Linked DNA regions of Danio rerio. The protein of the gene in region 1 interacts with the protein of each later gene in a pairwise test. Links are inferred from orthologs where the notes say so. Each region holds a gene or a part of one and is shown in the gene's direction. Other genes may lie near its edges. The genes, in order: trim23, atpaf2, pitx1, arhgef3, gpank1 and cdr2a.

The links.
Region 2: the proteins of trim23 (region 1) and atpaf2 interact in binary tests that used the Homo sapiens proteins (3 or more experiments, as listed by UniProt). The two-hybrid records come from large-scale screens. The link is inferred for Danio rerio from reciprocal best matches to the Homo sapiens genes TRIM23 and ATPAF2.
Region 3: the proteins of trim23 (region 1) and pitx1 interact in binary tests that used the Homo sapiens proteins (3 or more experiments, as listed by UniProt). The link is inferred for Danio rerio from reciprocal best matches to the Homo sapiens genes TRIM23 and PITX1.
Region 4: the proteins of trim23 (region 1) and arhgef3 interact in binary tests that used the Homo sapiens proteins (3 or more experiments, as listed by UniProt). The link is inferred for Danio rerio from reciprocal best matches to the Homo sapiens genes TRIM23 and ARHGEF3.
Region 5: the proteins of trim23 (region 1) and gpank1 interact in binary tests that used the Homo sapiens proteins (3 or more experiments, as listed by UniProt). The link is inferred for Danio rerio from reciprocal best matches to the Homo sapiens genes TRIM23 and GPANK1.
Region 6: the proteins of trim23 (region 1) and cdr2a interact in binary tests that used the Homo sapiens proteins (3 or more experiments, as listed by UniProt). The two-hybrid records come from large-scale screens. The link is inferred for Danio rerio from reciprocal best matches to the Homo sapiens genes TRIM23 and CDR2.

Annotation. Positions count from the first base shown.
Region 1 is NC_133185.1:12,496,240-12,500,470, reverse strand, and holds the start of trim23 (E3 ubiquitin-protein ligase TRIM23), read left to right. Parts: upstream 1-1,431; 5' UTR 1,432-1,455; coding exon of another isoform or gene 1,456-1,542; intron 1,543-2,505; coding exon of another isoform or gene 2,506-2,668; intron 2,669-2,763; coding exon of another isoform or gene 2,764-2,885; intron 2,886-4,231.
Region 2 is NC_133187.1:20,034,788-20,039,003, reverse strand, and holds the start of atpaf2 (ATP synthase mitochondrial F1 complex assembly factor 2), read left to right. Parts: upstream 1-1,416; 5' UTR 1,417-1,660; coding exon 1,661-1,796; intron 1,797-1,876; coding exon 1,877-1,921; intron 1,922-2,032; coding exon 2,033-2,181; intron 2,182-4,122; coding exon 4,123-4,216. UniProt on the Homo sapiens protein: Plays a role in the assembly of the F1 component of the mitochondrial ATP synthase (ATPase).
Region 3 is NC_133196.1:50,075,241-50,079,398, forward strand, and holds the start of pitx1 (pituitary homeobox 1), read left to right. Parts: upstream 1-1,358; 5' UTR 1,359-1,474; intron 1,475-4,158. UniProt on the Homo sapiens protein: Sequence-specific transcription factor that binds gene promoters and activates their transcription. May play a role in the development of anterior structures, and in particular, the brain and facies and in specifying the identity or structure of hindlimb.
Region 4 is NC_133197.1:41,151,534-41,155,702, forward strand, and holds the start of arhgef3 (rho guanine nucleotide exchange factor 3), read left to right. Parts: upstream 1-1,369; 5' UTR 1,370-1,533; coding exon 1,534-1,562; intron 1,563-4,169. Other genes in the region: serine hydrolase RBBP9, read right to left, coding at 691-786. UniProt on the Homo sapiens protein: Acts as a guanine nucleotide exchange factor (GEF) for RhoA and RhoB GTPases.
Region 5 is NC_133176.1:27,689,677-27,693,851, reverse strand, and holds the start of gpank1 (G patch domain and ankyrin repeat-containing protein 1), read left to right. Parts: upstream 1-1,375; 5' UTR 1,376-1,434; exon of another isoform or gene 1,435-1,469; intron 1,470-1,952; 5' UTR 1,953-2,017; coding exon 2,018-2,210; intron 2,211-4,043; coding exon 4,044-4,175.
Region 6 is NC_133178.1:62,630,171-62,633,625, reverse strand, and holds part of cdr2a (cerebellar degeneration-related protein 2), read left to right. Parts: intron 1-226; coding exon 227-772; 3' UTR 773-3,455.

The DNA of each region.
Region 1 (4,231 bases):
TCAAAGTCACACTTCAAAAGAAACCCTAAACCACCAAGTTTTTCAAAAATAAGGTTTGGGATTATACACCATATTTCATTTTTGTGCTTGATATAATGTTTAATCCAATTCAACTTAAAAAAATGTATTGGAAGTATCAAAATCAAGCAAATTCAAACCTCCTTGATTATATGAATTACATAAAATATTTCTATTTAAATAATGAGGTTTGTTTTTCCATATAAAATTAAACATCCCTAAATAATTTTTTTTAAATAACGGATTTTGGTACATCCAATACTTTAGCAAGATACACCGATTGTGATAAACTTTCAGTTTTAGACAAAAAGAGTTTAAGTGATAAATCCCTCATGAGAGAGGAACAGTCTGCGCAAATGGAGCGCAGAGTGGGTGTCATCGACTACAGCTCTCGTCTGATTGGCTGAAAGGTACGAGTTGCCCTGCCTCTGGCAGGACAGTCTCAAAAATACACACACAAGTATCCAGGGGGAGTCGTACGTGAAAGAGGATTTGCACATTCTCATTCAGGATGAACTCGCAAGTTTTAAACATTCAAAACTTTTTGTACACTCTTATACATTTGCAAATTGTGTTTTGCATTTGTGAAACGTATTTTATGAAAATGCATTTTTATTTTGTGCACGTGAATTTTTTTTGTGAATATAAATAAATATTTTACGCAAGTGAATTTGGTTTTATGCACGTGAATTTGGCTACGCATGTGTACATCATGTCTTTTGCGTGAATTTCTTTTGAGACTTATCTGATTCCATATTAATCCATCAACATATCACTAAAATGCAGTATTTAAATCTCGTAGTTAAATAGAAAACTGAGGCGTATAAGTGCAAAAAGGTCCACTTTTTGAGAAAAAAAGAACCACCCCTTTTACCAGGCTGGCTACAGGCCTAAATAGTCCCCAGAAAATTACAGTTGGTCAGATGTTCTCAAATTTTGTTGACTGAAAATTGGTGTTATTCCACCAAATATTGATTTTTCAACTTTCTAAAGCTGTTGATGTTTCCTCCAAGTTTAATGTGTATTTTTTGTCATTTAGACACATTTTAAATAATAAAAAAATAACAAAAATGCAATGTTTTGAAACATGTTTATTTTCACTTTAAGACAACACTATACAACGTTTTAACTTCATACGAGTCAGTTAAGCAATATTTGGTAAATTAACCCTAATTTTCATATGTATTTATTTCGGGCTGTAACATTTGATGAGCGCGTACTCGCACAGGAAACAGCTGACAGACTGATCCACTGTTATACATGGGTGACAGAGTTACACGATTGGTATAATTTAATTGAGACATAATACAAACATTCGCGATACAGCTTAAAAATATAATTTTAAAGTAATTTTTATTACCACATGACAGCCTAAAATAGAGCTAAATTACTATGCCATGTTCACACTAAAGTGTCATTAGATGGTTCAGTCCGAGGATGGCCGCTGCTGTCGGTGTAAATAAACAGGCGTCGATGGAATCGTGTGTGAGACACGGCCGAGGAACTGCCGCTAATGCGGTGAAGGTATGATGCATATTAAATAAATAACAACTATACTAGATGTTTAGCTAACAACGATCACGTAAGAGACGTTATTTTTAACCTGTCTAGGTGGAGTTCAGTGAGATTCTGCAGGGCGTTAGCAGGCTAATGATAGCATCATTCAAAACTGTCACAGCGTTTCTTACATTAAATAAGATGTCACACACCTATTTTTAAAACGCCCGACACTGTAAAAAACAAGTCGTAAGTATGAAAAAATGTGTTGTATTGATAACTCTGCCGTTATTAAATGAGTTGTGCAGAATGGGTTAGCCGGCTTGGCTAAATGATCAACTGGTCCATAGAAAGAGTGTGAGCTTCATATCTTCAACACTTTTATCATTTAACGTCAACTAGAAAGCAATTAGGAGATGTAGTTATAAGTTATGGCTGAACATAAGGCAATAGGTCTAAATGTTGCAGAATTAATGACATACGTCATGCTAGTTCCCCCAAGTTTATTATAACATTCTTTCGATATTAAATTAAATGTTAGCTTTTATGAACGTACGTATGCGTTTTGTATAATATAACAATTGTTATTATATATTATAATATATAATATAAACGTTTTAGAATTTAATTTTATTCTTTGTTTTTGCTGAAATATTTTTTCAAATAACAAATAAATTGTAATTAACAAAAGCTTAATTGGCTTTTTGAATGAGAAGTTAATAATTTAAAATGAAGGATGTGATGATATTCTTCATTATTGTTATGTGCATATACTAGTGATTCAGCATGTTAAAAATGTGGGATGGGACTTGATTTTGTCAGTCTCAAACTAATTGAAGGATTGGTTGTTTGTTATTTTCTATTTGTGGACATCATGTAAGTTAAAGGCCTGTCTTTTTATTAAAATAAAATTCACTCAGAAATGTCTACACAAATAATAATCTGCAACATTTCCTGTAAGAAATACATGTTTTTTTTGTTGACTTAAAGGTGTTGGAGTGTGGTGTGTGTGAGGATGTGTTTTCACTACAAGGTGATAAGGTACCACGACTGCTGCTGTGTGGACACACGGTGTGTCACGACTGCTTGACACGACTGCCTCTCCACGGCAGGGCAGTACGCTGCCCCTTTGATAGACAGGTCACTGAGCTGGGTGAGTTTGCCTTTCTGTTCACTATAATAACAATGTAACTCAATATTTAAAAATTTCCATACTGGGAAGAATCATATTCTTGTTTTGCTCTCCAGGAGACTCAGGTGTGTGGGGCCTGAAGAAGAACTTTGCCTTGCTAGAACTGCTTGAACGGCTACAGAATGGGGCAACCAATCAGTCAGGCATGTCGGAGGATGCGCTTCGTGAGATGGGAGAGGTTAGAAGTGTACATTTTTCAAATTTACAGTTTTTTTTTATATTAGCAATATAGCTACAAACAAAAAATGAAGTATAAACATGATCTAATGTGCTGCATTTCAGATTCCATACCATCTGTCCTAAATGGATCTCTAAATGAGTTTAAAAACAAAATCTTGGCAGTGATTATGGGGATAGAATCCTCTTTGTCCAACTTGTTCCTCCTTACACTATGTGGTTTTTAATCATAAGTTTATTTTAAAAATGGCATTGTTTTATGCTTTTCTGTAGCTGCACAAGCACAAACAAGGCAAAAAATGTGTTTTAAGTGCATTTGCCATATTTTGACTTTTTTCCACCACTGTGCTTTGGTATAAATAGCCGCTCTTCTCTCTTATGCATAAGCAGAGGCGGACTGGTCATAGGGAGCACCGGGACATTTCCTGGTGACCTGACAGTCAATCTACCTACCACTGTGACTCTGGCCTGCCGTCTTTCAATTATTGATCTCTTATACCCCCTCACCCCTGCTATTCACTTACTGATCGCTTTCCAACCGGGAAATGGGGTGGGCTTCGCAGCATCAAAGGCTAAATATACAGCGCGAGCGGTCAGGAGCGGAATTAAAAACTGGAGGGAGTGGGACTAAAAATTCAGTTCCACGCAGATCTCTACCGTAGTTTAGAAAACTCAAAAGTTTTAAGACTGACAAAATTTTCTGCTCTACTGTTCCTACTGTATATGTACGTTTTGTTTTTTACATTTTGTTTTTAAAACAATAGTATCTCCAGCAGAAAATATCTACAAACATGCCTTTTCAAGTTACCACAAGAAATCTTTGTTTTTGAAACTAATGAAGATAGCAGAAAATATTATTTAATAATAAAATTTATTGAGGCGTCCTTTTTGTGAGCCCATTAAATATATTTAAAATACTGATTTATTTTATCATGCAAACAGCAGCATACAAAACATAAAAGAGCAACTTCACGCACCTGCATTGTTTCTAACAGCATAGAAAAAAAAAAGAATAAACTAAATAAACAAATAAACAAGCCTGCCATAGATATCTTTCACCTAAATGACAAATTTAGATTACAAAACGAAAACACTGATTGTATCCTTTTTAAAAACTGGCATAGGCTGTTTTTTCCAATGTTTTTTTCTTCCGTCAAACAAAAATATCAGACTATTAAATCGAATGCTCCACTGAAAATATGCATTTAATTAATGCTTCGTTGTATATTATGTCACAAAACCCTTTTGACCATTTTAATAAAAGTCATTAGTTTAAAGATTGTCAAAATTACTTAGTTCCCTATTTCACTTGCAAACAGCATTAGCACTGGTTTGTGTCAACTTGTT
Region 2 (4,216 bases), on another chromosome or scaffold:
TAGATAAACTATAGACTTATGTTTCAATTTATATCTCTTATTTATTCATATATTGGTGAAATCTGTGATATTTCAAAAGAACAATATAATCCTTTTTAGATTCTTTAGTCTATTTCACTAATATATAGGCCAATATATATATATATATATATATATATATATATATATATATATATATATATATATATATATATATATATTCATTGTGGAATTAGTTAATGTTGATAATGAAATGTTTTTATCATGCTGAAGAACAGAGGACAATCAAACAAATCAGAAACACAACCAAAAGAGGGCGCTATGCTGTTCCTTAGATCAGTTCTGGTGCATTACCCTACTGCTGCCCCATCAACTCATGTGTGTCCCTGGAGGGTTTTTGTATACTTGAAATTAATGATTTTTATTTTATGTATTATTTTTCTTTTTATTTGATTTATTTATTTCTCTCTCTTTCTCTAGAATATATAAAATAAATTAAATAAGCAGAACAAACTGATAATAAACATGAAGATTTTAAAACAAGATATTATTTAATTCTTTTTGCATTTGTCTTGTACATAGTAGATAAATAATTAGGTAATAACTAAGTGTAATGTAAATGTCTGCTCTATAAATTGTGTAATTTTTTCCATGTTTTAACAAACCAACAAATTAATGAAAGAAAGAAAGAAAAAAACATATAAGATAGAGATAATAAAACTGAAGCAAAAGAAAGGTGAATAAACCAGTTTATAGTAGCAACATATAAATATTCACTAATATATTCATTTAAATATTCCAAAAAATGTATTTAAGAATAACATTTTTAACAAATATTTTAAGTTATTTAAAGCTATGTTAATTTTTAATATTTAGAGCAGGACTTTCCCGCCCAACTTTTAGATGCCACAAACATTTTAATATCATTGCCCCCACATTAAAACATAAACATTTTTGTTAAAAAAAATTAAGGAAGTTACCTGAAGTTAATGTTTTGAAAACTGAAATTTTTTATTATTATATTCTTATTTGTTTTATTTTATTTTGATATATAATTTATTGTTTTATTTTATTTAAATAAAATATAATAATGTATTGTATGCTATTAAATATTTAATAATCGTTTAATTATTATGCTGTTTTATCAATTTGTTTCTGTTTCTCTTTTATTTTGTATTATAATGTGTGCTTATTATTTAAAAACTATATAGAATTATTTTAATCTTTTTAATTATTCAATTGCTATTTTTAATTATTAAAATCAAAATATTTTAATAGGTATATCACTCTCTTTTGTCCCTGGTAACCCATTCTGAAAGTTTGGCGCTAAATGAATGTTCGAAATGTTGGACTTTTCTCATAGATATTTATATAGCTATGGACTTTTATTATGAATTATCCTCTATGCTTTTTCCTGTTTAGGTCATCGTCAGTCCACTTTACGGCACGCTGTTTTCACTTTGCTGCATGCCTTTAAATACCTTCTAGTGTATTTGCTTGAATAATTGAGTTTATCTCAGATATACTCATTTCTTGTAATTTATACGATTAAAACATGAAAAATGCATTGTCAAATTTAATATAACACCATATCCGGCTTTTTAACCTTGACTGAATGGCTTATCACGCCTAAACTGTGGCATCAATACAAATACAAATTTACACACATAACGTTTAAAATATGCTACGAAATATATGTCGGTATCACACAAAGTTTGGCCAGGCAATTATTTGGCCGTTTTCATTTTCTTACGTGAAGCATGTTCCCAGTTTATCAACACAGCTACAAAAGGCAAAATATAGCAGTGCTACAGCAGGTAAGATATAAAAAGAAAAAAATAACTTAAAATGATAAACAAATATATTAATATCTTTGTACTTGCATTGTGTTTTGCAGAGAGGAAAAAGTTCTACGAGACTGTATCTATAACTCAAGGTGAAGGTGAGCATCATTCAGTACTGATGGCCATAACAGCACCTTAAAAGAAACATGTTTTCAATGATGAAGATCGAGGGTTTGCTCATATGAAAACACAGATTTTCTTGTTTATAGGTGGCTTGTTTGAAATAAACCTTGATAAGAGAAAGCTGAAGACCCCAAGTGGAAAACTATTCACAGTTCCCAATGAAGCTCTTGCCATTGCTGTTGCAAATGAGTGGGACGTTCAAAAGGACACATTGAAGTTTTACACTATGCACTTGGTAGGATATTATTTTTAATTTATATTATATTATTATTATTATACTATATTTTGGTTTCCCAAGTACTACTAGTATATTTGAAAGTTTTATTCTACAACTGTCTACAGAGTACATTCAAATGTATCTATAATACATACATAGTAGCATGGAACACATATTTTTATACACTCTTCAGAACTGAAACTTACAGTATTACAAGTCTACAAGACTAGTACCTTTATTTATACCCAAAATCTGTACTTTTTTGGTGTTTTTTCTTTTTAATTTTCTGCTGCAGACGATTCCATTCAAGAACCCCCTAAAAAGTACAGATTTTAGGTATAAATAAAACTGAAAGCTTAGTTTTTTTTTAAATTCTATTTTAATCATTTAAAAATTCTATTCAGTTAAAGGGGTAGTTCAGCCAAAAATTATAATTTGGTCAACAACAATACTCTGGGACTTTCTTTCATCTTTGGAACACAGATTAAGATATTTTAGATGGAATCTGAGAGCTCACTCACCCTTCATATAGACAGCAATGTACTTTTGTGCACACTTAAAGAAAAAATACTTACTTCATTCAGCGGTTTATCACCTCATTAGTAGGCCCACACGGAATATGCGTGTACAGAAATCTGCAGATTTCCGCAGATCTTTAGCCCATCATTCGGTGTATTTACTGTATTCACTTGTTTAATTGTGTGTGAATTTATATTTATTTAGTTTTTTTTTTTTTATTAATTTCACTAATATTATTGTGTTATAATAATAGTACTATTAAAATGTTCATATGATTTATTAACAATACAGTTAGTAATGTAATATTTTCTGTCTTTTTGTAGGTATATGATGTATTGCTTTCTTTACCAAATAGGTGGATGCAATTGGATTTGCACTGTAAACATTAAATAAAATTAAAAAATGTGTTGTTTTTTATTTAATATATTAATGCTGTAGTTATGATACTCCTAAAATCAATCTCTGCAGAAATTGCAAAAAATGTCTGCATATTGTGTCTTTTCCTATTCATTCATCTATGTTTCCATCCACCTATTTTTATGGTAATTTTGCAATATGCGCATAGAAAACCGGTTGATGAAAACGCCAAGATGCACATTTCATTTTGAAAAAGCTTAATGTGACTTTTCATTTTCATAAGGTTCCTTTTACAGCATCGATGTTTTACACTATCGATGCATTGATGACAAAACATTCAGTTAAATAGATACAAGCATTCATTTAGTTGTTCAACCATAAAACAAGATGAAAGATTGTGTAACCGCTAGCGCCATCAGGATCAGCAGGCGAGCGCAGAAACTCCTATACTGGGGTGAAATTAATTGTTATATTTTAAAGATATGACGGGGGAATAGAATTTAACGCAGTGCTTTTTGTCTGAGACTCATATATCTATATCTATCAGGCAGTGAAGGTCACTGATTAAAAAACAAACAAAAAAACTGACCTCAAACATGGCAACTTTATAATGGAAAGACGGAGGCCCTGTTAGGCTGAAATTAAAAGATTGTGTGCATATACCCCATTCTAAATAGTTATCGGTTATTGTTGTCGGTCAAAAATTCCAAATCGGTTCCACCCTATTAATAACATAATTTTCATTTTGGGGTGAACTGACCTTTTATGTAGTTAAAGATATTTGCATTTGCTCCTAGTTTTTTTTATTTATTTATCTATTTTTTATATGTTATTATTTGCATGTGTCTTTTTTCTTCACCTGGTTGTCATTTTAGATGAGAATTGGTTCTCTTAATTGATTTACCTGGTTAAATAAAGATATTTATTATTAAATACTAATGGATAATGTATCTAAAACATTGTCACAAGTACATATAAAATCAGTGTGTGTATATTCTGATAGTACATTCATTCCCAGTATTCCCAACATTCATAATGTTAAATGAATAGCAGAATCTAATAGACTGATTTCTGTCCCTACAGACCACCCTTTGTAACACTGCTCTTGATAATCCAACACAAAGGACAAAAGAACAGATGATCTCTGCCGCTCTGAAGTTTTTAGAAACAGACACTA
Region 3 (4,158 bases), on another chromosome or scaffold:
TTCATGCTAAACTCAGTCTGGAGGTCAGACAATAATCTCAGCAAATAAACAGAGGAGCTCAGACTGAGCAGAGAAGCTGGAAACGATGGAAATAACACATTTACACAGAGCACATGCGAACCGAGCCACAGCCCGAACACAGCAGACCAGAGGATTAATAAGGCAGATTACAGATTATTAATAATGCAAAGATATGCAGCCATGTACAGTTTAAAATGAGTCGATTTTTAATAATAATTATTGTTATTCTTAAGTTAATATGAACTCTTATTAATAGATAATAAACGCTGTCTGTGTATTTAATGTTATGCATAATGATGAAATGCCAAAACATTCAAACATAAAATAATAAAACTGCACATGCTTTCTGGATCTGGCAATATCTCAATCAAATATACCTCATAATGAGACTCATGCACGCATGCAAGCGCAGATGGAGAGCTTTTAATTTATACTAATAAATAATATGCCATCATAAAATAGCAGAAATATAAAAGCACATTAGAGATAAATAATGAGCAGTTTACAATGCTTGAAGCTCTGGCAGTCATAAACCAACATGAGAAATCTGATAATTAATTTGGGGACTGTGAGATTGTAAACGGCTTCACACATTTATTCTGCAGCGCATGTGCGGGTTACTATGATCTGTTCGCCTATTTGTGCTTTAATTATTATAGCATGTAATTATAGAGAAACATGCAAACACAGAAGGCAAAATATATTGATGAACTAGCTCTAATCAGTTATAATTCATAATTTATTTCATTTAATAATTGTGTTTCTTCGTTGTAAACAGCTTTGCTGGTTTCCTCAGTTTTGATGTCGTGTAAGAGCGCTGTTTAACGCATTATATTGCTATAAACTAATTAATTACTGTTAGAATATTTATTATTTCATCATTTTAAACGCGTAAAGTCACTCCGATAAATGTCTGAAAATGCTGAATTATATTCCGACGTTGGGTCAAATACAGACAAACCCCAAAGTTGGGTTAAAATGTGTCATTTAAATGTCAGCTAGTTGAAATAAAATATTGACCATTGTTGGGTTTGTAAAAATTTTACCCAACATTGATTTAACACAAGACTGTATCGACAAATGAAATGTAAAGCGTGTGAAGGTTTTTCCTCAGTGTTTTAAATGCGTAATAAACGGATTTCAGTGGAGAACACGATAACAAAACGGATTTCTCTGAATCGCAGAGTCTAACAGAATCAAACAGTGATGAAGAGCTCTGCAGCGTCACCTCCATCATGCGTTTCTCACGGCAGATCGCGCACGCATGACGTCATGCGGGCGGCGGAGTGACGTCACGCGACCTACCTGATAGTGTCTGCGGTGGCGCATCTTCCCGCGCAGAAACTTTACGGTTGCTTACACGCGCGCATTTGAGGAACTATAGATAATAAATGCATGGAAACCATTTAACACACGAGAACAAGCAGCTCGCAGAATATCACAGAACTGACACGTGAGTCGCTTTACAGTGTGTGTGTGTGTGTGTGTGTGTGTGTGTGTGTGTGTGAGAGTGGTAGGCCTAACTGTGGCGTGAATATCATTGCATTGTGTATTATAGTTCGTGTTCTGCTATACATATATATATATATATATATATATATATATATATATATATATATATATATATATATATATATATATATATATAGCTGTATTTGAGCTGGATAGTGTCTGGTCATCCTGCTGTGCTTACAGATGCAGAGCAAACCTCAGTAAACACACATGGACTCACTGTACTGCAGTTGCGCACGGGCTGTGCAGACACACAAACACACACAATATTCCCTGAACTTTAGGTCTACATGTTACAAGACAAAATAGCCAGAGTTCATCACAACAGATTCCTGATTTGAGCAGGTTTGAGCATGTTTTGGACGCTGTGCGACGCATATTAATGCGGTTTATAAACGCTTCAACGCTTAATTCAGTAAATACTCAAATAAACAAGACCTGCGGTTAATTAATGCACACTATTCAGTCGTCATTAAATTAGCATGCAGCTTCCCCTCGTGAATGTTTAACAGTCCTATTATTGATAACAAATGTATTAATGCAATTTAATAATAACCCAAATAATTATAAAACAAAGTATACAGATGAGCTGTTCCATCGTCTGAAACGAAACCACATTAATTCTGAGCCTGCAAAACCCACAAGCTTCCAGGAAAATTACTACACAACATTGAATTATTTTGTTACTAAATTTGTATTCTTATTATTCTTCTTCTTATTATTATTATCTATTATCTGTTACTAATTAATCAACAATAAACTCTGTGTTTAGAATGTACCTCAATATAAGTGTAGCTCAGCATGCGACAAAGCCTGAAATATCTGAACTGACAATGAGGAAAACTGGAGTATTTTAAAGCCTTCAACAGACGGAGATTAATATTCAGCTCGATGTGTCGGAGTTGTCCACCGTGAACTCTTTAAATGTTTCTAAAAGGCGTCCTGTCAGTTTAATTTTCCTAAAATGTATGCAAATATATGCTCCTGACTCTGAAACATTCCCTAAGTTCTTCATTGAGTTCTTGTCGTATATCAGCGCAAGAGTTTCAGACCCGTCCACTGGATTCCGCTCTTCTGCCCTTTAATGCGTGTGTTTATGCTCAAGTCATTTTCCGCTCAGAAGTGACACAGCCGAGGCTATTAATGTGCAATTATGTGCTTCAACTAAGCTAGAATTATGATTATGGCAAATTCTTAAAAATAGGAGATACCGAAGACACAATATGAAAATTATTATCATTATTATTCATGTTTTAAATACTGCAATAACATTAAATAAAGCATTGTGTATGGGTGTGTGTGCATATATATATATATATATATATATATATATATATATATATATATATATATATATATATATATATATATATATGTATATATATATATATATATATATATATATATATATATATATATATATATATATATATATATATATATAAAATGTAAGTATTGCAAGCTAAAAAATCTTTACCTCTTTGTCAATTATGATGCTTTTAAAGCGATTATTTTGTAAATATAAAAATGTATATACAATACTAAATAATACTGGTGCGCGCAATATAATACTGTAATATTGCGATATTCAGAGTAGTCTAATTCAGAATAACTTGAATATCAATAAAACGACCAAAAACAATGTAATTAAATGCCACATTTGTGTAATGCTTAGGCTAACAAAAATAAATACATTTACAAAACGTGCATGTTATCAGCAGATTTTATTAGTAATAAAATATTAATAAATATTATTAATAAAAATATAATTTATTTTAATAAATAAAACCTGCACTGACTCAGTTTCAGTGAACTTCTATATTAAGCTGCTTTGACACAGTCTACATTGTTAAAGCGCTAAATCAACATGAGCTGAACTAAATGCCAGTGGAGGAGAACAGAAGCCAGACCGTTTTCATAAATAATACAATATAATATTTACAGAAAATACGGGCTGTTTCTTACACTGAGTGCATTCTCCGCAGAGCATGTATGTTCAGAAACGGCGGTGAACAAGGCTCTTGAGGTTATTTTCATGATGAACCCATGCTCGGATCTTCCCCGTCCTGCAGCGTTGTGTTCTGCCCATCCAGCAGGCGCCACCGACGGCAGAAAACCCCGCAGAGAACAATCAGACGGGAAAGCGAGATGTTTTCTGACTGACAATGAAGCTGTCACAATAAGCCCATATTATATATCCCATTCCTGGCGACTTCACCTCATGTTTCCAAATATAAGTGCATTGGGCGGCGGAAGCCGATCATTTTAATATTTAACACTATATAAGTCTACATTAGTGCTAAGAAGTCTGTCTCTGTTCTTGAACCTCGGTGTGTATTTTATTTATCGAACACATATTATGAATTTTTTAAAGAAGAAAAATAGGAAACTAAACAAAAACTCGATGCACAGACCCGGTCAAATAAAACAAAACAATGAACAGATGAGCGCCGACATTTACATGACTGCTATTTAATGCCATGCATGTGAAAACAGTGTCTATCGCGAGCACAATAACCACAATATAGTAAATAAAATAATAAAGTAACAGGCCTTTAAATAAATAAAAATAATAAATAAAAGAGTAAATGAACGAATGATGTTTATGAAACTGTTTAAACTTTA
Region 4 (4,169 bases), on another chromosome or scaffold:
CAAGCCTGAAGGACTCAATTAGTTTGATCAGGTGTGTTTAATTAGGGTTGGAACTAAACTGGCCAGACTTGCGGCCCTCCAGGAACTGAGTTTGACACCTGTGCTTTAAAGGATGTGATAAATTTACAAGATCTCACTCTGTATTCGTATTGTTAGATGAGTAACCGCATCAGTGCGAGTTGAGACAGCTGTTTATTCCTGTTTATAGTTTTATGTTCAATCAATCAATAAAAACATGCAGCACTTGTGTTATTTTACATTTTGCAAAGTTTCAATAAACTGATCGATTTTTAAATATGATCAGGCTTCAGATGAACTGGGTCAGGTCAGGTGGAAACTGTCTGTGTAGATGTTATAATAGAGGACACAGAGGTAGAGTTGGTTTATATTCGCACATTGGCTCATTTAGCAGTCTCTATATTGTTTATCATGCTACTGTGAATATTCGATCAGTGTTAGCACGCAATGATGACTTCAACACAACATCAACACTGTTTATTTGACTGTCATCAATGCTGTACTTTAATAATCAATAGCTGCTAATATGATTTCACTATTTAGAGTTTGCCAATAATACTTTTATGAAATTGTATTATTAAGGAGAAAGTCTGAATGTGCGAATAAAAGCTTCACCTCGTTATAGATGACACGTGTCTGTGTTATTGCATTCTCTCGGTGACCTGACCGTACCTCATTTATTCGTTTGTTGGCCCATCCGTACCAGTTGCTACGCTCAACATCTCCTGCGCCGTTCCCAGGCACAATCACAACTCTCTTCAGAGGCATTTTAACAGAAAAATCCAGCTCCTTACTCAAAAACTCATACACGGAAACACCCCAGACGGCATGTGGAGCGATATTCCGCAGCGCAGCGCCTCCTGGAGGTCAGTCCGCCATCTTGCTCTGAGTTTTAACTTCTCCGACTTTTTGTCAACTGCAAACTACGAGCTGAAGTTATTTTAAATAAGGCGTTTACATTGAACAGACAGCATCCGGGTCTGCTTTATACATTAATCATCGTTAAATGCGAGGTCAGATGGGGAAATGGCTGAACACGTGATCTCTCGCTTTTTTTTTTTTTTGTAAAATATTTTCACAATTGCTAATAAAATTCATAACTTTACTGCATCTTATGAAAAGAATGCATTTAATAAAAGGTCTGATATACCTTTAGATAATATCAGCAACATAAATCCTGTGACGCTGTAAGCATCTGTATTGGCATTTTCATGCATGAATATTGAGCGGGGATTTTCCATGTGAGCTGCTGTGGGTTTCAGTAGGACAGGACTGCACTCACCCACTGCCGCCCCGGGTGATCTGTCATCGGCAAACCTCTCCCATCCGACCGAGAGGAGGAGTGTGTCGTGTCACAACACTGCGAGCGGCTCATAGGAGAGCTCTGCTTATTGTTTGTGTCTGTTTAAACCCATTCTCTAAATGATTTCAGGACTAATGTATCTATGAAACTGCTGCATATTACTGATCGATGACCAATGGTGGATCTCTGCTGTCTGGATATCAACAGTTTCAATGAGTGCTGGAGGAGATGAAGCATCAGGGTGAGTACTGTTACTGTTTATTTCCATATGAAGCGAATATACAGTGCTCAACATGTGAAGTCAATCAGAACAAGTTCTTCAAATGGGTGTTGAATAGTTCTCTCCACTTTATTTTGGTCCACTTCAACTGTTGGCTGTTTAAGCATGATCATCATGTCAACATGAAGAGCCTCAAAACCTTAGTGTCCTCTAATTAGAAGAGCTGGTCAGTGTTTATCCAGTCAACAAAAGACGCTCTTACATTCCCATTTAATCCAACATTTGGGATTTTTTAATGTCTTCAACATTACATAAATTATTTTTGTCTTTGAAAATCTGAATAAAACCATTACAGACCATCAGATTTTACCCTCAAACCCACATGATTTACTGATTTCTATATTGTGTTTGGGACACATTTCTTCAGGACTCATTGGTTTTTAACATGCCACCATTAAGAAGGGAAAATTAGTGACTATTTGAGATCTAAATGATCATTTCAGTGTCCATTAAAGCAGTACTGTACTGAACAAAAGCTGCATTGCTTTACTCAATGTTTAAAGTTAAGTTTTGCTTGTAAACTCTTTACATCGGCTGAATTTAAACAAACAAATCACATGTAGTAATCTTCAACCTAATTTGTTTAAATTCAGCTTAGGGCGACGCGATGGGTTGCACAATCCCCCTCACAGCAAGAAGGTTGCTGGTTCGAGTCTCAGCTAGGTCAGTTTGTGGAGTTTGCATGTTCTCCCCGTGTTGGTGTGGGTTTCCTTCGGGTGCTCCGGTTTCCCCCACAGTCCAAACACATGCACTATAGGGGAACTGATCAACTACACTGGCCGTAGTGTATAAGTGTGTGTATGGGGGTTTCCCACTGATGGGTTGCAGTTGGAAGGGCATCCACTATGTAAAACATACTAGATAAGTTGGCGGTTCATTCCACTGTGGCCCCAGATTAATAAAGGGAGTAAAAAGAAAATGAATTAATAAAATTCAGCTTATAGAATTTGCAATGAACTTTTTTTCGCTGGTCTATATTGTTGTTGTTGTTGTTGTTGGTTATTGTCAATGTTAGTGAAAACTGGAAGCATTGTATTGTATAATTATGGGAACATTATTTTAAATGTGCTTTCAATGGTGTAAAGATCGCATATAGTAAAGTTCAGATACGTTTGAAGAACTTGTAAATAAAATGAAACACTTTTGAATGGAAATGAACTGTTTAGAGAACATTTTACAATGCAATAATACAGATCACACCATTTAATCTTAATATGTACTATGCACACACTTGATACATCTTCATAGAGCTGAGGTCAGAATTATTCACCCCCTGCTTATTTTATTCCTCAATTTCTGTGTAACGGAGAGCAGATTTCTCCAGCACATGTCTAATCATAACAGTGTTAATAACTTATCTCTAATAACTGATTTATTTCCTCTTTGTCATGATGACAGTAAATAATATTAGACTAGATATTCTTCAAGACACTTCTATACAGCTTAAAGTGACATGTAAAGGCTTCACTAGGGTAATTAGGGTAACTAGGCAGGTTAGGGTAATTAGGCAAGTTATTGTATAACGATGGTTTGTTCTGTAGACTATCCAAAACAAATATAGCTTAAAGGGGCGAATAATATTGAGCTTAAACTATTAAAAACTGCTTTTATTCTAGCCCAAATAAAACAAATGTGCATGTGGCATTAAGTGTAGAGCTGGTTCTCTTGTGTTGTTGAGTGCTGGAGGTCTGCTCTGCTCTGCTCATTTCTGGCTCCTGCTCTTGTTTTCAGTGTATAGCAGTAGTTGGTTTGAGTTGTGTATGATTAGACATGTGCGAGTCTGTCATGACAGCTGTGGCCAGCACGGGTAGGCCTATACTTTTATTCTCTGTATATTTAGATACTGCAGCAGATGTCTCAGTGAACTGGTGGGGTTCAGACGTCACTCATCTAGACAGATATGAAGTTGTAAGCCAGGTGGACAGATGAACCATCAGGAGACAGATCGCTCACCTGTCCGGGGTTTTACAGGTGTTGTGTTAGACCTCTTAAAGCTAGGTTTCTGCCAGTATCAGATCTTCATGTTGCAATTCATTTCTTAAACTTTTATGCAGTAGTGTCACAATATTGAGCCAAGCTGGTTATTTTAACCCATTAATAATAATAAAATAGTGTAATGCTTTATTGTGTACACTCCAACAATGTCTATTGCTGCATGTTTAAACTACTTACACTACTGTTCTAGACAACTTAATGGTTGTTCAATCCACTTAAATTTGTAAACATATATATATATATAAATATGCAGCTGAAGTCAGAATTATTCGCCCCCTTCAAATTACTTTCTTCTTGTTTAAATATTCGCCAGATGATGTTGAACAGATTGAGGAAATGTTCACAGTGTGTCTGATAATGTTTGTTCTTCTGGAGAAAGTCTGATTTGTTTTATTTGGGCTAGAACAGTGGTTCTCAAACTTTTTTCACCAAGTACCACCTTAGAAAAAAATCGTCTCTCCAAGTACCACCTTACGACGCAATTTTTTAACCAGTATTAAAAAATAGCGTCATAGGCCTAGTTAAGCAGCTACAGGTGTGCACAGTTTAAAACGATGCAGATTACTTCCTATT
Region 5 (4,175 bases), on another chromosome or scaffold:
GTGGACCTAATAAGGTATTAAATGAGTCAGGCTATTCAAATCAAGTACTTAATCAAACTGTTGGGCCAAAATGTAATGTTTTATGAAGCGATTGGGGTCACTTCTATTGGTTTGCATTTTATTTGCATGTTTATCTTCAAATGTTTCTTATAATTGCTTAAAGTAACCATACCCCCCACATTCACAGATTCAGAAGCTTCCAGCAGAATACTGCATACTTTTTTTTTTTTTTTCAAAAGGATTATCAAGGCTCGTTGGTGATTTAGGCCAAATGCAAGTCAAACAGTTCTGATTATTGTTTCTGGCAGATTTTTACATCATTAAGTGTCTTTGTAGGTGTTAGTTAAAGGACAGAGGAGAGAGAGCATCATCACCTCTCGCTCAGGCTGATGTCTGTGACTGTTCCCATGTTCATTACTGTCTAAAGTTTTCTACCCTCTCTGTTTGATGGTGAAGTTTAGAACAATCGTTTATTTCAGTCCTGGTGTTTATTTGGAGAAAAGCAGTTTAATTATGTCAGTACAGCTGAGCCAACATTTTCTGAAAATATCTTTGCATATCACTTTTTAAGTGGTATATTTTTCAGAAAATTACCAACTCTCACAATCAATACTTGTGGTTTCAATAATGGCATAATGGGAGGAAATTACTAAATTTAACCAAAAGTACTTTTGTACAAGCAATCTTTTTTGTATCATTTTGTTCATGGGTCACTTTTTCAAATACATTATTTTTGTCAAACAGCAGTTCCAGAGTTCCAGCATTGAATACATTTTGACACTAATAATTTCAATAAAAATTCATAATGCTCGCATCAGTGTTTCTTTGTTTTAACTAATGCACTGATTACATCTTTGGTTTTTCAAATGTTTCTAGTAAAAATTGATATTAAGATTAATAAATGCGTGTTCACAGTTGATTTTAACAAATGTTGTTAAATTATTTTAGTTAACAAACCTTATTGTAGGGAACTTTAGCATGTTGGCCGGTTTAAACTGGTTGACCAGCCTGGTTTTAGGAGGGGTTTTGGCCATTTTCAGGCTGGTTTCCAGGCATTTCTAGCCTGGTCTTAGTGGGTCAGGCTGGAAAATGACCAGCTAAAACCAACTTGACCAGCCTGGTTTAAGCTGGGCATAGCTGGTTTTGGCTGGGCTCCCAAGACGTCTTGCTTGGCTTGTTTCTAAAACCAGGCTGGTTGACCAACTAAAACCAGCCAACCATCATAGGCTGGTCTAAGCTGGATTCTTCAGCAGGGTAATTATATAAAATATCAGTAAATCCTAATTTTAAGAAGACATTAGGTTTTCAATGCAAATTTAGAAATCAAGAGATTTCAAGAGAAGCAAAGTTTCACACTCCAGACCAGTTGGTGGCACTGCTACAAAGTAATAGTCAAAAATCGACACAAGAATGAGAGCGTTGTGTTTACTGGACGTAAGTGTGTGTTCATTACCTTGGGTTTACTGGACGTAAGTGTGTGTTCATTACCTTGGGTTTAATTTGGACGTGTTTATCTTTTCTTTGATATAATTGTTGTAACTATATAGATTTAAGGCTGTATTAATAATTGTATCAGCGTAAAGTGGGATGCATCATATCTCGATTACAGTAACACCATAATCCTAGACATTTACTATCCTAATTGACTAGAAATTCATTTAGCCGAAAACCAGAATTTCATAGTTACAACGTTAACTGTGTAAGAGCTGTTGACATTTTTTTTGACAAAATGATCAGACTCATTAATAGTTCGACTAAACATTTATTACGCAACTACAAACATAAGCTTTGATGGCAGTTATCATTACATTACAGAAACAAATGTTAGGATACACGTTCAAGACACAATTGACAGAATCTAAGTAACGTAAAAAGACTGCCCTGTAAATTAATGGATGGTTACTTTTTAACTGATATGAAAATGACCTCTTTTTGTCTCCTCTTGATTTTAGTATCTTGGGCATGAGCTGCAGTCGTAGGATTTTTCATTTGTCTATTTAATAGCAAAGTGTTAAAGATGAACAACCCAGTCTACTTCACCAGAGCCAAACAAGAGGAGACGCTCTGGATAGAAAAAAAGAAAGAAGACAAGCAAACAATTTCTGGGGTTGAGGCCAGAGACTTTTACCAAAGCCTCTTACAAGAGAGAGATAGAGAAAGGCCAAGAGATGGAGAAGCAGCAGCAAGTAGAAGAGCAAAAAGACGAACAGGTAGAATTGTCAAATTACTATCTGATATTTGATTATGCACTGATGTATTTTAATTTAGTGTCTTTTAAAATTTTCTTAGTCACAACAACTTAAATTAACTGGATTTTTTGTATGACACAGTATTTCATTTTGCCACAAGTGTGTGCATTCGCAACTGATGACGCTGTGACTGAGTGTGGAAACAGTTTTTGTCTTTATTACATTCTACAGGACTTCTGTGGAAATCATGTGAGAGAAAGTATTCAAAGGTCAAAAACGTGAAAAGCAGCAGCCGGTTAGAACACGAGGGGCCCTTCCTGGGGCACATAAACAGCATGCAAAATGCTTGTGGGCAATAGAAAACAGTTTTAATACACTGCCTTAGACCACTAAAAAAAGTTTGTTGTCCAAAACATTAAGGGCTTAAGAGTAAAAGCCGTTGAAGTAAAATGACTTGGCACAAACGAAGTTAACTTTTATTATTCCAGAGTCGACTGCTTCTGGTTCTACTGGTCATGATCATGTGGGTATAAAAAACATTGCTGTTTTTTCAAATTAAAATTTTTATGTTTTTTTTTTTTTCTTAAAAACATTTTAAGATTCTGTTCTAAAGCTGCATTGTGCAGTGTAATAAAACACACACCATATTAAAACATCTTTGGTGCTTGGTGAAACCAAACTGGAAACTAAGGGTGTGTGAAACCATTAGCATGGCCACACAGGACATGTTCTGTGTCACTAGTTAAAAATGCTTATTTCTCTGGACTTTAACATACTTCTAAATGTTAGGGATATTGTTAGTACATAAGTCTGGAAAATTAATACATAACATTGTTCTAGTGGTTTTTGTATATATTTAAGAAAAAATCTTACATGTTGTGTCTTTTACATCAATGTGTAAATTGGTTAAACAAAAATCTAATTTTCAACTGCTACAGCATATTGTTACATTTATTCAATTGATAATGGTCAACTCAAATAAAAGAATCAGAAAAACTAAAAAAAATACCCTGTCCTCTGAGAGTAGATCACTCAGAATTGCAGTGTTTATAAAAAATTGCCTGGTGTGTATAGAGAGGAACAGCGAAAAAACATACGCTTTTCAAATGTATCATGATTAATAAAAATTTTACATCAAAACAAATTTGACAGAACATGCAAAATCTATATAAAATTGTAGTTTGTGTAGTACATATACAATTAGCCCCCCTGTTTATTGTTTTCACAGTTTCTGTTAAACCGAAAGAAGATTTTTTCAACACGTCTAAACATAATAGTTTTTATAACTCATCTCTAATAACTGTTTTTTTATATTTGCCATAATGACAGTAAATAATATTTTACTAGACATTTTCAAGACAGCTTAAACTGACATTTAAAGACTTAGCTAGGTTAATTATCTTAGGTTACAGGTTAGGGTAAATAGGCAAGTTATTGTATAACGATGGTTTGTTCTGTAGACTATCAAAAAAATTTGCTTAAAGGGGCTAATAAGTTTGTCCTTAAAATGATTATTTATTTCTTTATTTTTATTAAAACTGCTTTTATTCTAGCTAAAATAAAACAAATAAGACATCCTCTGAAAAGAAAAAAAACATCATCAGACATACTGTGAAAATTTCCTTGCTCTGTTAAACATCATTTGGGAAATATTTAAAAAAGAAAAATAAATTTAAAGGGGGCTAATAATTCTGACTTCAACTGTAAGTGTAGATTAACAATTGGTGTTTTTCCTCTTTGATACATTTAATCTCTGTCATTTATTTTCCTTAAAGTTTAGTTTAAAAAAATGACGTTTAAAACACTCATTGTTATACAGATTTATCATGATCTTCCAATATCTTTTGACACAAGAACCCAATCGAAGAAGAAGAGAAGCAAGAAGGCTAGAAGCTTCCACTGTGCAGCCAGTTTGCACGGAGCGTGATGGACACAAACTCCTGCAGTGCGCCCAGGAAGGCAACATTCGGGCCCTGAAAGACCTCT
Region 6 (3,455 bases), on another chromosome or scaffold:
TTTGTTTGCACTCAGTGATGTTGAATTTGAAATGAAATGAAACAAAAACATGTGGTTGTTGCATAGGCTAATGATGTTTTCTGCAAATGACCAAAGTATTTTTATGAGCTGAAAGGCAGAATGCGAGTGTTTTCATCAAGCTCGACATTATATAACAGTTTCAGGTTGGGTTTTAGTGTTTGTAACATGTGACACACATTGTGACATGCGGTTTCACTTTTGACAGGCGGAGCTGGAGGCCGAGGTGGAGGAGCTGCGTCTGCTGTGGCGCTCCGAGTCTTCCAGCTCCAGACTGACCGACACGCTGCTGCCTGACAGTGTTTTCTTCAGTGCAGAGGAGCGGCTGGGGGTGGAGCCTGAATGTGAGGAGGAGGCGGAGTTTCCTCAGGGGCGCTGCCGCTGCAGCAGTGATAGTTACGTCAGAGGAGCTCGAGCGGAGGAGATCCGGCGTGGACACGAGCGCTCCTGCATTCGCAGAGCTCAGGCCGTCAAGCAGCGCGGCATCTCTCTGCTCAATGAGGTGGACGCTCAGTACAGCGCCCTGCAGCTCAAATACGAGGAGCTGCTGCGCCGCTGCCAGCACGGGGCCAACAGCCTCAGCCATAAAGCCGTCCAGACGCCCAAATCCCAGAGCTGCTCCGCCACAGACACCGCCTGCCTCTCCGACCAGCTCCATCAGCCCGAGTACAAAGCCCTGTTCAAAGAGATCTTCACCTGCATTCAGAAGACCAAAGAGGACCTGAGTGAGAACAGGGCTTTGCAGGCCCAGTAAGGTGTGGCTGTTTTAAAGGGGGAGTTCACCCAAAATTCTGATGAAATTCTGTCACCATTTACTCATCATTTGCTTGTTGCAAAACGGTTTGGGTTTCTTTCCTCTGTTGAACACTAAGGAAGATGAACTGAAGAGTGCTGAACAGAAAAGAGGATATCTTGAAGAATGCTGGGAAAACATCCATTGACATCCATAGTATTTGTTTGTTCCTACTATGGATGCCAATGGCTGCTTTTTCCCAACATTTTTCTTGTTTTGCGTTCAACAGAAGAAGCACTTGAGTAAATTATGAGTAAATGGTCATTGTTTTTGGGTGATCTGTCCCTTTAAGTTGAGTGTAGTGACTTTGCACTTGCTAATGTGATTTAACAGTGTGTTTGTGTGTGTGTCTATTGCACTATAACAGCTGTGCCTATACACAGTATACAACACCAAACCGTCCACATCCAGAACCTGAATGGTCTGAATGGGGTTTTTCTACTTTTATACGTCTTACTCTAATGAACGACACACACAAGCTGTGTGAATCAGCCATACCAGACGCCTGAGATACATCAGGTTTGGAGGAAGACTATTGTTATTAGTACTAACAACTACATAACACAGTTATGGAACTAACTTGATGTACATGATATACCATAATATTGGTGAACCTCACACAAGCTGCTAAAATGAGGTTTTACATCGAAAAATACAACAAAAACAACAAAAAAGCAATTGACATTGTAAATTTGAGCCAGTTTTTTAGGAAAATTTAACGTTTTTGTTGTTGTGTTTGAAATTACACGTTATCTTCATGACGAATGCCCCTAGTGCTGTGGCAATCATTTGGAGGAATGGATTTTACGATTGCGAAGTGCATTTCTATTCTATCTTGAATCGGCTCTGAGCTTAGTTTTCAACAGCAGATGGCACTCTAGGCTAGTATTTAGCAGCAGACAGGCTAGCTATAGCAACACACGGCATTCTGGACTAATTTTGAAAAGCCTAGAGCACCCTCTAATGTTAAAAATTAGCCTACATTTCCCATCTATTGTTAAAAACTAGCCTAAATCGCTGTCTAATTTTACAAACTAGCCTATCTGCTATAGCCAAAATTGCCATTTAATGTTAAAAACTAGCAAATGCTGTTAAAAACTAGCCTAAATCGCCATCTTATGTTAAGAATTAGCCTAAAGCCCCTTCTATTGTTTACAACTAGCCTAAATCGCTGTCTAATGTCAAAAACTAGCCATCTGCCGTTAAACAAGCCTAGAGTCCAATCTATTGTTAAAAAAATAGCCTAAGTTGCCATTGCTAATGTTAAAACTAGCCTATCTAATGTTAAAAACTAGCCTAGATCGCAGTCTGCTGTAAAACAAATTGCCTAGAGTGCCATCTACTGTTTAAAAAAAATTAGTCTAGAGTGCCTTCTACTGTTAATCTAACATTAAAAAACTAGCCTAGAGTGCCATCTAGTGTTAAAAATTAGCCTAGAGCACCACCTAATGATTAAAAACTAGCATAGAGCACCATGTTTTTTAAAAACTAGCCTAGAGTGCCATCTAATGATTAAACACTAGCCTAGAGTACCATCTAATGTTAAAAAACTAGCTTAGAGTCCCATCTATTGTTAAAAACTAGCATAAATTGCTATTTTTTAAAACTAGCCTAGCTGCTGTTAAAAGCTAGCTTAAATTGCCATTAAATGTTAAAATCCAGCCTAAAGCCCCCTCTATTGATAACAACTAGCCTAAATCGCAGTCTAATGTTAAAAACTAGCCGATCTTCTGTTAAACAAGACTAGAGCACCATCTAATACTAAAAACTAACCTAAAGTTCAAACTATTGTTATAAAAATGCCTAAATTGCTATTGCTAATGTTAAAAACTAGCCTATCTGATGTTAAAAACTAGCCTAGAGCGTCATCTGCTGTTAAACACTAAGCTCAAAGTTGATTCAATCGAGAATAATGCATTTAGAAAATCTTAGAATGGGTTTCTCCAATTTTTTGCAACAGCTTTATATCCCCAATTCTATTTGCATATTTAAAAAAATAATAATCTAAATGCCATTACATTAATGCACAAATTAAATTTGTAAAAAAAAAAAATATCTGAGAAGTATTTAATGCGCTAATTTAAAATCTAAGATTGTGCGAGAAAACACTGTTACAGGAATAATAGTAATAAAAAAAAATTGACAAGCTTTTTATAACGGAATATGAACCAGATATTCTTTTATGAGAGTCATTTGATAAACATTAGAAATATATACGTATATAAACAAAATGGAATTCAGTAGGACCGTGTATGTAGCCTTAGATTTTAAGTGTCTAGACATTTCACATGCAATACTTATTAACTTATAATAGAAAATGCTGCATGTGATTTCGATGACGTTACTAACGGTGATCTCTTGTATTCGAGCAATACTGTTTGCTGTTTTGCTGCTTCTTTACCTCAGTGCTTTGATATGCTAGCGGAATCAGCTCCTGTCAATGTAAACGATATGCTTGAAAATCTGTGTAAATAGTTTGTTCGGATCAAATCGTGGCTCTGCGTTCGCAAACACACTCACTCTAGCTAATAGTCTCAAGCACTTTTTGTTTTGGCGTTCATGTAAACACCACTGTGATACTATGCACTTTAGACAGACCTGTGGTCAGTTTTTGGATTTTTGAGTTACGTTTTTATTTATTTAT